3 linked regions of the Kluyveromyces lactis genome follow. The protein of the gene in region 3 binds, or shares a complex with, the protein of the main gene of each other region. Links are inferred from orthologs where the notes say so. Each region holds a gene or a part of one and is shown on either strand. Other genes may lie near its edges.

Region 1 (3,377 bases), on a different chromosome or scaffold from region 3:
AACGATTGGTTCTGAAAGGCATATACATAAGAGAATGATGTCAATGCCCATCTTCAAAAATGAACCAACGACTGGAGTGTTAAACTTTTCGGCTTGGCAAACATATAACGGTCAAAATCTATCAGGGAATCACCCAGGGTCTGGAAGAAAACTCACGACGACGGGCCCTTCATCGTTTCCACATGCAGTAAGGAAACATAGAAGAACACATTCTACAAACTCTGCTTTTGGTGTCATTGATTTGAACTCCATCAATCAGGTTGCTTTTAAACAGTCGAATTCAAGAGGTAGCTCTGCTATTGGAAATAATGTTAATGATCATGGGGATAGTCCCACGTCGGGAAAAAATAATTCAAAGGTAGAAAAAGAATCTGACCCATCCTCCGTTGGAACAAATGACGATGCTTTCGGTGATGATAGTAGCAATGACACCACTATCGATGATATCAAAAAGATCTCACCTTCTCCTCCTCGAACATTATTGAAAGGTCCTAACTATGTGGACAATTTATTAAATACCTGATTGATACTACCGGATTAAAGATGGTTGGAAAATTGATCTATATAAGTGCACTCATTGTACTATTTCTTCTTGTTCTGCTAAATATTCTATTTCGGAGATATTCAATGTTTCCCATTCAACCTCGCCAGTCTCCTCATTCATTCCTGAAATACATTCAAATTCAATGTCTGATTTTGTGATCGATTCAAGCTCTTTCTTTGCTTGAAGTGCTAGTGATTGAATCACATTATCGTTTCCCTGAGAAATGAACCATGCGCAAAGATCATCCAACAGAATTTTATTGTAAACGTAGTAGACATCATGGTATCGGAATAGTTCATGGATATCCAATAACGCTTTTATTACCAAACGTTTCCCTCCAAGTAACAGCTTGATAGCCAACTGCCATGCTTTGATACAGAGGTCATAGTTACGATGCAACGGATAGCTGAGAGCTCTTCTAATACCTGTTACTATGGTACCTTTGATTTGAGAGAAATGTATTAAAGACTCGGATAGAAGAATCTGTTGGTCCAACATTGAGATCTGTGGGGTCAATTTACCGATTGTCCATTGGCTTTCAGTTGTATGTTGTCCCTCATTTTCGATCTGCTCAAAAGTGTAAGAATATAATATTGATAATATCGTTAGATATTGGCTTTTAACGTCATTTATTAAGTACTTCTTTTTAGGAATGTGGTCTTGCATCTGAGTCTGTTCCGCTTCGGTGAACTCCACAGGAAAAGATACATTTCTTTCCTTCGATTCATTGTCTGACCTTTCGAACCACTGCTGATACCTTTCGCAAAGAGGAGGAAGGTACCCAAGCAATCTTTTTATGCCATTAATCTGGATTTCCTCTTCATCGCCCTGTTTTATGGTTATATATTCAGCAGCATAGTACTCTGGATCAAATTTCAAATTTTCCTTCTTCAATCTTTCCTTGACTCTGTTCTCGGGAGAAGTATGTTCAGGATCATCCAATTCGTTAATGTCATTGCCATTTGCAACGGACATAACAATATATCCTGTATAAAGATTATCGAAACCGTATTTCGTTGTTGGTGTATTATCTACTTGAACCTCTTGTTTGATTTCCCAATCAAAATGCTCTCCTTCTTCTCGAATATCAGCAATTGATTCTTTCTCATTACTAATTTCTTGAATCAACGGCCCATCTGTCACTTTAGGTTCATTCTTTGCTGCCAATAATTTGCTAGCGAGATCTAAGTCCTTGAACTCTTTACCTTTAACTGCCTTCAGAATCTTACAATTGATGCTCTCTTGTTTGGAATCATATTCCACTGTATTTAAAGTTTCATCCTCCACCAATTCATCTGATAATCTCAACCTCAAATAATACGGCGACAAATGGAAGATAAACATACAACCATCTATTACAACCTCTACACCAGCACTGTTAAACCTTATGCTTGACACCTTAATTTGTACATAAATGTATTCATCATCCTGAGTGACAGTAAATCTTGGAGTTATCATTAGGAACACTATACCGGTAAAATACGAAACTCCGGTACCAAGTTACTTCTTGTATAGTTTCTGAAATTAATGGGTGGTCAAATTAGCAATTCAGATAGTTATGTTTATAGCAACTAAAAAGGACATATAATCCCATCTCAGTGGCACATACCTTGACCTTTTAGAATTACAGTCATCAGAAATTACTTAGACGATTACAGAAAAGAAAGAAAAATTTCCAACTTTGGATATTTGAAAAGAATTACCAACAGATGAGATGAGATGAGTCGGTTTAGGTTTTACTGTTCCAGACACCATTTAACTGCAAGTGTTGTGCTCCAATTGCTAAATAGCGCCTTTTGTGATGACTATGGGTGAAGTTGAGAAAAAGCCTAGAAGAAGGTTTGTTGGTATCAAAAAAGCTGCAGAAGAAAGTGATCCCTCGGGATCAACCACTGAGCTAGTGAAGAAAATCAAGCCTAAGACTAACATTCGTCATGCTATTAATCAGATACCGCCGGAGCTTTTAAATGACGAAGAGTTAAATGCTGCTATCAAGCTTCTTCCCTCGAACTATAACTTTGAAATACATAAAACTGTATGGAACATTAGAAAGCACAAAGCAAAGCGTGTTGCTATTCAAATGCCTGAAGGGTTGCTCATATACTCTTTGGTGATAAGTGATATTTTGGAGCAGTTCTGTCAGTGTGAGATTGTGGTTATGGGCGATGTTTCTTATGGTGCATGCTGTATTGATGACTATACAGCAAGATCGTTGGATTGTGATTTCATTGTCCATTATGCACATTCCTGCTTAGTTCCGATCGATATTACTACTATCAAGGTACTTTACATCTTTGTCACTATCAATATTGATGAGACACATCTAATAAAGACGTTACAGAAGAACTTCCCAAGAGGTTCACGGATTGCTGCATTCGGAACAATTCAGTTTAATCCAACTATCCATAGTATGAAGGACAAATTGTTGCAGTCGGAGGAACACATGTTATATATCATCCCCCCTCAGATCAAACCACTTTCGAAGGGTGAAGTTCTTGGGTGTACTTCTGAAAGACTAAACAAGGAACAAATAGATGCGATGGTTTATGTTGGGGATGGTAGGTTTCATTTAGAATCGGCCATGATTCATAACCCTGAAATTCCTGCTTTCAGATATGATCCCTATAATAGAAGATTCACCAGAGAACGTTACGATCAGAAGCAATTGGTAGAGGTAAGAGCATCTGCCATTGATAAAGCTCGCAGTTCGAAGAAAGTTGGTTTGATACTTGGCGCGTTAGGTAGACAAGGTAATCTAGCAACAGTTGAAAATCTCGAAACTAAGCTCAAGGCTTCCGGAAGGACTGTAGTAAAGATTATTCTCAGCGAGATT
Region 2 (2,051 bases), on a different chromosome or scaffold from region 3:
CATGTATTCAAATGCAAAACATCGGTCAAAAATGTAAACCACAAGGAAAACACAGGCACTAGAGGCTACAAAACTGGTGTATAACTATCCGTCATCAGTTATATTTGTGATACATACCATGGAAAACCCGTATGAGAAAGTTCAAAGCAATATTCTGGCTAGAATCATTGGCAATGTCGAAAGGTTGAACCAGAGTGTAGTGATACTAAACCAAGAGCTTCGAAGGGTAAACACCAAGAATAAGAATTTGGAACTGATGTCACAAATGTGTGAGAACTATAGAGAATCTGTTGATTTCCAGTTGCAGGCAACTTCCAAGAAACAGGACCCATTGTAAGGTCTCACATATATTCTAACGAGAAGAATTTATTAAAAAAAAAAAGCAGTTACTTAAGTGATGTAGTATGTACGTATATACATACGCCTTTTTATAGTCGGTTTCAGGACCGTACTGATTCTAATTTACAGATAATAATGGATTAATTTTTTTTGTTCATGTTCAGTGAGTTTTAACCGGTGCAATTTTGTCTGCGGATTGTGTTCCAACTTGTAGGGACCTTAGTTTGGCAAAAGGTTGTATCTCTTCTTCAAAGTAACTCTTTGTCTGGAGTATTTGTCATCTGGAGAGAATCTAGCAGGGTGAGCAGACTTTGTAATTTCATTATCCTCAGTCATCTTCTTCAAAGTATAGATTCTCTTGCCTTGGGCATCCAAAGTGTACATCAAATGCATAGTGGGTAGTGGGTAGAGTGTGATAGATGCTTTTGGTTGGAAGTGAAAAGGAACTAGATATATGGATAACAAGACACTTTCTTTCAAGCGATGAGCTATACCGATCAGTTAGTTAATGCTATGTTGAAAAACTGATTATATCTCTTTGAAAATTTAGCAGATGCACTTGATGGAAAAGAAATATTCCAGTTCGTATCATGTGATCTGATGATATATTCTCTAACGTAAGTAGCGATATGTGTTTTGATTATCTTTTTCTAGTCACGTGTAAAACGAAGGAGGCTGGATCGGTTCCAATGATCGATTGATTGATAAACTTTTGTAATCGGGTGTTCACGTGACCTGTGTGTATTTTATTTGTATTTTATTTGTATTACCCGGCCACTCTCCTATAAAAAAGGGGTCTCATTTCCACACATAGTTAAGGACCCTGCTTACTATGAGTGTTTTTATGACAGGAACTGAAGCTGGAACTGGAACTGGAACTTTCAAAGGAAAAATGAAAAAAGACGAAAACGAAATTTGAAATTGAAATAGAAATAGGAATAGGAATAGGAATAGGAACAGGAACAGACATTGACTATTAAAGCTTTAATTTGATATAGACATAGGGCTTGTCACTGATAAGAATAATATATTTTGGTCCTGTGTTGAAAACAGCGGAAGGTTGTATATCGTGTTGAAAACGAAATTAACAGTAATATAGGAGTTTCGGTTCGTAAGTTCTACGAGAAACTAAAGAGATCAGATAAATTTATACGATGTCCAAAGCATTTCTTCGTAGTGCAAAGAATTTAGTCAATGGGTACTCTCAGGCTCAGGTTCTCGTTAGAAGTGCCACTTCTAACGATAAGGACGGTCCGTCCGTTGATCAGTTGGAAGAGTTGGCTGAAAGGACATTTGATAACGTGGAATTTTTCGAGATCATGGATATGTTGGACAAGAGATTAAACGATAAAGGCCGGAACTGGAGACATGTCGCCAAGTCACTAACGTGTCTAGATTTCTTGGTGAGATGCGGATCAGAGAACTGTGTGTTCTGGTGTAAAGAGAACCTTTACATTATTAAGACGTTGCGTGAGTTTACACACACCGATGAGTTTACCGAGATCGATAACGGTGAGATTGTCAGAGTGAAGGCGAAAGAGTTGACGGCGTTATTACGGGACGAGGAGAGGTTGAAGGAGGAACGGATGATGAGGCTTAAGGGGAGGAAACGTGGTGGTAGGAAGAATAGACGTGACGATAATGAAGATGACGACGATTTGCAACGAGCTTTAGAGGAGTCGAGGATCACTGCGGAGGAAGAGGAGAGACGT
Region 3 (3,573 bases):
AATGAAGCACGCAACATAAGTTGAGGACGCAATATAATATGCGAGAGAATACAAGGAGAATTATTCAATGATTGTTAATACTGGTAAAGTAAGAAACGGGACGTTTCATTGTGACACCTCGACTTCTGTTCACAATGTAACCATTTGCATAGATTTTAACCTTCATTTACCTTTTTATTGAGCAAATGACATCATGCAAATAAAAGACATACCAATCTGCAAGTTTCCCGACTTCTATTTGGTTCCGAACAATTGATGTCTGCCAAAAAAAAAAAAACTCCAAGTATTATTATCAAATCTTCTATCTACCTCATACATTTACCATTACTTTTTGCCATTACTTCAATTGAAGACGTAATGGTGTCTTCACACGCGCATAAATAATTTACAAATTTATATATACGAATACAATGATATACAACATCGACACAGGGTACAAAAAACAGTCGTGACGAAATACGTTTTTCAATGATTAAAAATATTCTACAGTGTACATAACCTAAATGATAAACTCTATGCAGTTTTGAAATTTCGATCGATGATATGAAGGACTTAGATTGTAGTCGTTTATTTCTTTGACTTCTTCTTCTTCTTCTCGGAAGACTCATCATCGTCAGCCTTTCTCTTCTTCTCCTTCTTCTCCTTCTTTTCCTTTTTCTCCTTCTTGTCCTTCTTCTCCTTCTTTTCCTTCTTGTCCTTCTTTTCTTCTGGTGTCTTTGATTCTTCCTTTGATTCTTCCTTCTGTTCGACTTCCTTCTTTTCTACTTCTTTGATCAGTGGTTTTTCTTCTGATTTGGATGCAGGGGCGGTAGTTGGTTCAGCATTCTCCAATGAAACGTAAGTCTTCTTCCAGGTCTCTGGAGTATTTTCGTTGGCACGGCCATATTTGTCTAGCTTACCGTCAGCCTTCATTTGTTTTTTCTTTTGGGCAATTGGACCAAGACCCCATCTTCTTGGATATAGGTCTCTTTCCATGATACATCTCTTAACCTTGGCAACAACTCCGTGGTCACAAGTAGCTAAATCGACAGTAGACATTTGAGCAATGGCAACTGCAATGGCCTCACCCTTGGTGGTGATTAATACAACTTCGTCATATAATTCAATACCTTCCTCATAACGAAGTAGACCTGGAATCATCAACTTGGCACCGTAACAAACAGCGTTAACAGCAGAATCTTTGACAACAATTCTTTTGTAACCGACTAATAGAGTTTCTAATGGTTGAATGATCTTTCTTAGGTAGGATTCATCCCTGGTGTTATCGTATACCCATTGTGCATCCATAACATCATGTAGGGTGACCAAGTTATCGTTTTCGGACAAAGCACCGGATCTAACACGACGCAACTCTTGCATATGGCCACCGACACCTAAAAGCATACCAAGATGGACACATAAAGTTCTCATATAAGTACCAGCTTCACAGGAAGCCCAGAAAACACCCAAGTTCCTCTTGTTGTCAAATTCGATCAAGTTGGAGTCATAAATGGTACGGACACGTAATTGACGCTTAACAGCAGAAATTAAAGGAGGTCTTTGGAACAAAGCACCAGTCAAATTTTCTAAACCTCTGCCCAATTCCTTCTCGTCCTTAAGGGCATCGTGCAATCTAACGATACAAACATACTCTTTACCAGCACCTTGTTGAGACTTGACCAATCTGGTAGCTCTGTCAACACAGACGATCAAACAACCAGTGACTTTAGGATCTAAAGTACCAGAATGACCTGTTTTTTCGCAACGCAAGATACGCTTGATCCAAGCAACAACTTCGTGAGAAGATGGGTTTGAAGGTTTGTCCAAATTGATGACACCAGAACTGATATATGACTTCAAATCTCTCTTCAAAGGAGAGGCACCAGCTGGAATTGGTGTGTAATGACCACTTCTGACTAATAGTTTGTCATAGTCCTTCAACAATAAAGGCCACTCACTAGTGTTACTAGATGGTGAAACACTCTCTGGCTTAATAACAAATTCGTCAGACATCGATCTCTATCTTACTTATTAGCTTTCTAACGAACAATCCAGTACACTATCTCCTTCAAATATCGAGAGAAAACAATAAAAGGATAGTAGCAACAATATCGTAAAGCAGAATCTACACTAAAGTGACAGTTTTTAGTCCAGTAAGATGAATCTACTTCTAATAGAACTCTATACTTTTCTTGTTAAAGCTCATCTCATCTCATCGTCTTCATCAAATTTTTTTCTTCAGGTAGAAAATTTTCAGATATCTCAAAAAGCAATTATTTCCGGGTAATGAATTATATTCACCTTGACGTTTAAGTATATATGACAGACATTGGAAATAGCATTGCCAAGTGAGAGTAGTTTTTATAGCCTTCTAGGAAGTGAGTTTGCATTTTTATTTAATGGACTAAACTAGCTGCTAATATGTTCATTATGTTAGGTTAAATTCTGTTAACTTAGTACGCTGTTTTCATTCAGATAGATTCCAAGTACTTGGCGTTATAGTTGTTCTTCAAAGCGCTAGCCCAGTTCCTAGTGGATAACTGTGCGATATTTGAAGTTGAATAATCTGTCTCAATTCCAGTTGAAAATATGGAATCTTCTTTGTCTGGCGATAGCTCTGATGTGTTTTGGTTTTGCTTCCACTCTCGGAGCTTTTGTATAATTTGTTTAGCGTTGTGTTTCGACCTTGAGGAACAGTTGCTATTCACATTGGCTACTTTAAGCTCACGGAGTGAATCATTAAAACCTTGTTTTTGTTCTGATATGTAGTGTAACTCTTCGTTTCTATTGTCTTTATTTTCTATGCCATCACTAACACTTGTAATGGTGATCGCAGGTTTGTATTCTGGTTTGGGCTTGTTGGAGACCATATTGTCTCTGATATTTTGGAACATATCTCTTTTCTTCATAAAATAATTCAAAGTCCGGTTTGTAGACCCGAATCTATCCACATTATTGCTGTATATGGCACTAAGCGCAGATTCTGCTTTAAGAGTAACTTTTAAGGCACTACTTAAAGTTTTCTCGTAATTAGTCCTGTAGCTTTGTAGTTCATTATGATACATGTCAGCATTTTTATCTATTTCACGTTTCATCGCTAACAACCTTTTTTGAAACTTCTCATTGAAAAATGCAAGGTCTTCCTTCTTCTTTTTGATAACCTCGTCATGTTTTGACTTTAAAACTATGTTTTCATTACTTAAAATTGCAACTTTTGTCTCAAGTCCCCTGTATCTGCTCTCATTATTTTTTATTTCTGTCACCTTGTTGTCTATTATCAGATCCAATAGACTGATACGGTGGTTTAACTTAACGATTTCCTCTTCTTTTGAATCCAATGCCTTCTCGTAGTCTGTTCTGTCCCAAACCTTTAAAATTCTGCCTCTTTCAGCCTTTGAGAGATCTTTTAATTTAGCAATTTCCCTTTCATGCTTCACTGACAAAAGCTCCAAATCCTTTGCCTTTGTCTCCACTTGCTTTTTCAAAGAACGATTTTCTACCTCCAATGAGCTTATTATAATGTTTTTTTCCGTGACAATGTCCTGTAATTGACGATATGCACTGGCAACTGCCTTCAAAGATTCATTTTCTCTC

What was found.
Region 1: the proteins of CBF5 (region 3) and SHQ1 are in contact, whole or in part, in a crystal structure (PDB 3ZV0), measured with the Saccharomyces cerevisiae proteins. The link is inferred for Kluyveromyces lactis from reciprocal best matches to the Saccharomyces cerevisiae genes CBF5 and SHQ1. Residues at the interface, in NP_013276.1 of Saccharomyces cerevisiae: Ser20, Glu21, Trp22, Pro23, Leu24, Lys27, Leu49, Lys50, Arg51, Asp52, Ser274, Asn277, Ala278, Tyr281, Gly282, Ala283, Lys284, Pro288, Val336, Lys337, Arg338, Cys339, Arg343, Asp344, Pro347, Arg348, Arg349, Trp350, Leu352, Gly353; in NP_012162.3 of Saccharomyces cerevisiae: Ser181, Val182, Thr184, Ser185, Asn186, Gly187, Asp189, Lys215, Asp217, Pro218, Glu219, Tyr220, Val222, Ser223, Glu224, Met226, Thr227, Glu237, Ile238, Asn239, Thr319, Thr321, Thr322, Glu323, Trp326, Tyr379, Pro380, Leu381, Arg383, Asp421.
Region 2: the proteins of CBF5 (region 3) and NOP10 are in contact, whole or in part, in a crystal structure (PDB 3U28), measured with the Saccharomyces cerevisiae proteins. The link is inferred for Kluyveromyces lactis from reciprocal best matches to the Saccharomyces cerevisiae genes CBF5 and NOP10. Residues at the interface, in NP_013276.1 of Saccharomyces cerevisiae: Asp65, Lys66, Pro67, Ser68, Trp78, Ile82, Thr99, Val124, Ile126, Ile175, Glu176, Asp178, Arg181, Leu183, Val185, Gln214, Glu215, Leu216, Arg217, Val219, Glu226, Asn227, Thr232, Leu233, His234, Met237, Asp238, Trp241, Tyr251; in NP_058135.1 of Saccharomyces cerevisiae: Met1, His2, Leu3, Gly11, Lys12, Arg13, Tyr15, Thr16, Leu17, Lys18, Ala30, His31, Pro32, Ala33, Arg34, Phe35, Ser36, Pro37, Asp39, Ser42, Arg43, Arg45, Val46.

The regions. Positions count from the first base shown.
Region 1 is NC_006042.1:372,245-375,621, forward strand, and holds SHQ1 (Hsp90 cochaperone SHQ1), read right to left. Parts: upstream 2,003-3,377; coding exon 575-2,002; downstream 1-574. Other genes in the region: BOP3 (Bop3p), read left to right, coding at 1-523; DPH1 (2-(3-amino-3-carboxypropyl)histidine synthase), read left to right, coding at 2,346-3,377.
Region 2 is NC_006039.1:1,464,495-1,466,545, reverse strand, and holds NOP10 (snoRNP complex protein NOP10), read right to left. Parts: upstream 733-2,051; coding exon 559-732; downstream 1-558. Other genes in the region: DAD4 (Dad4p), read left to right, coding at 119-337; ENT1 (epsin), read left to right, coding at 1,494-2,051.
Region 3 is NC_006040.1:407,724-411,296, reverse strand, and holds CBF5 (pseudouridine synthase CBF5), read right to left. Parts: upstream 1,993-3,573; coding exon 568-1,992; downstream 1-567. Other genes in the region: KLLA0_D04774g (uncharacterized protein), read right to left, coding at 2,451-3,573. UniProt on the Saccharomyces cerevisiae protein: Catalytic subunit of H/ACA small nucleolar ribonucleoprotein (H/ACA snoRNP) complex, which catalyzes pseudouridylation of rRNA. This involves the isomerization of uridine such that the ribose is subsequently attached to C5, instead of the normal N1.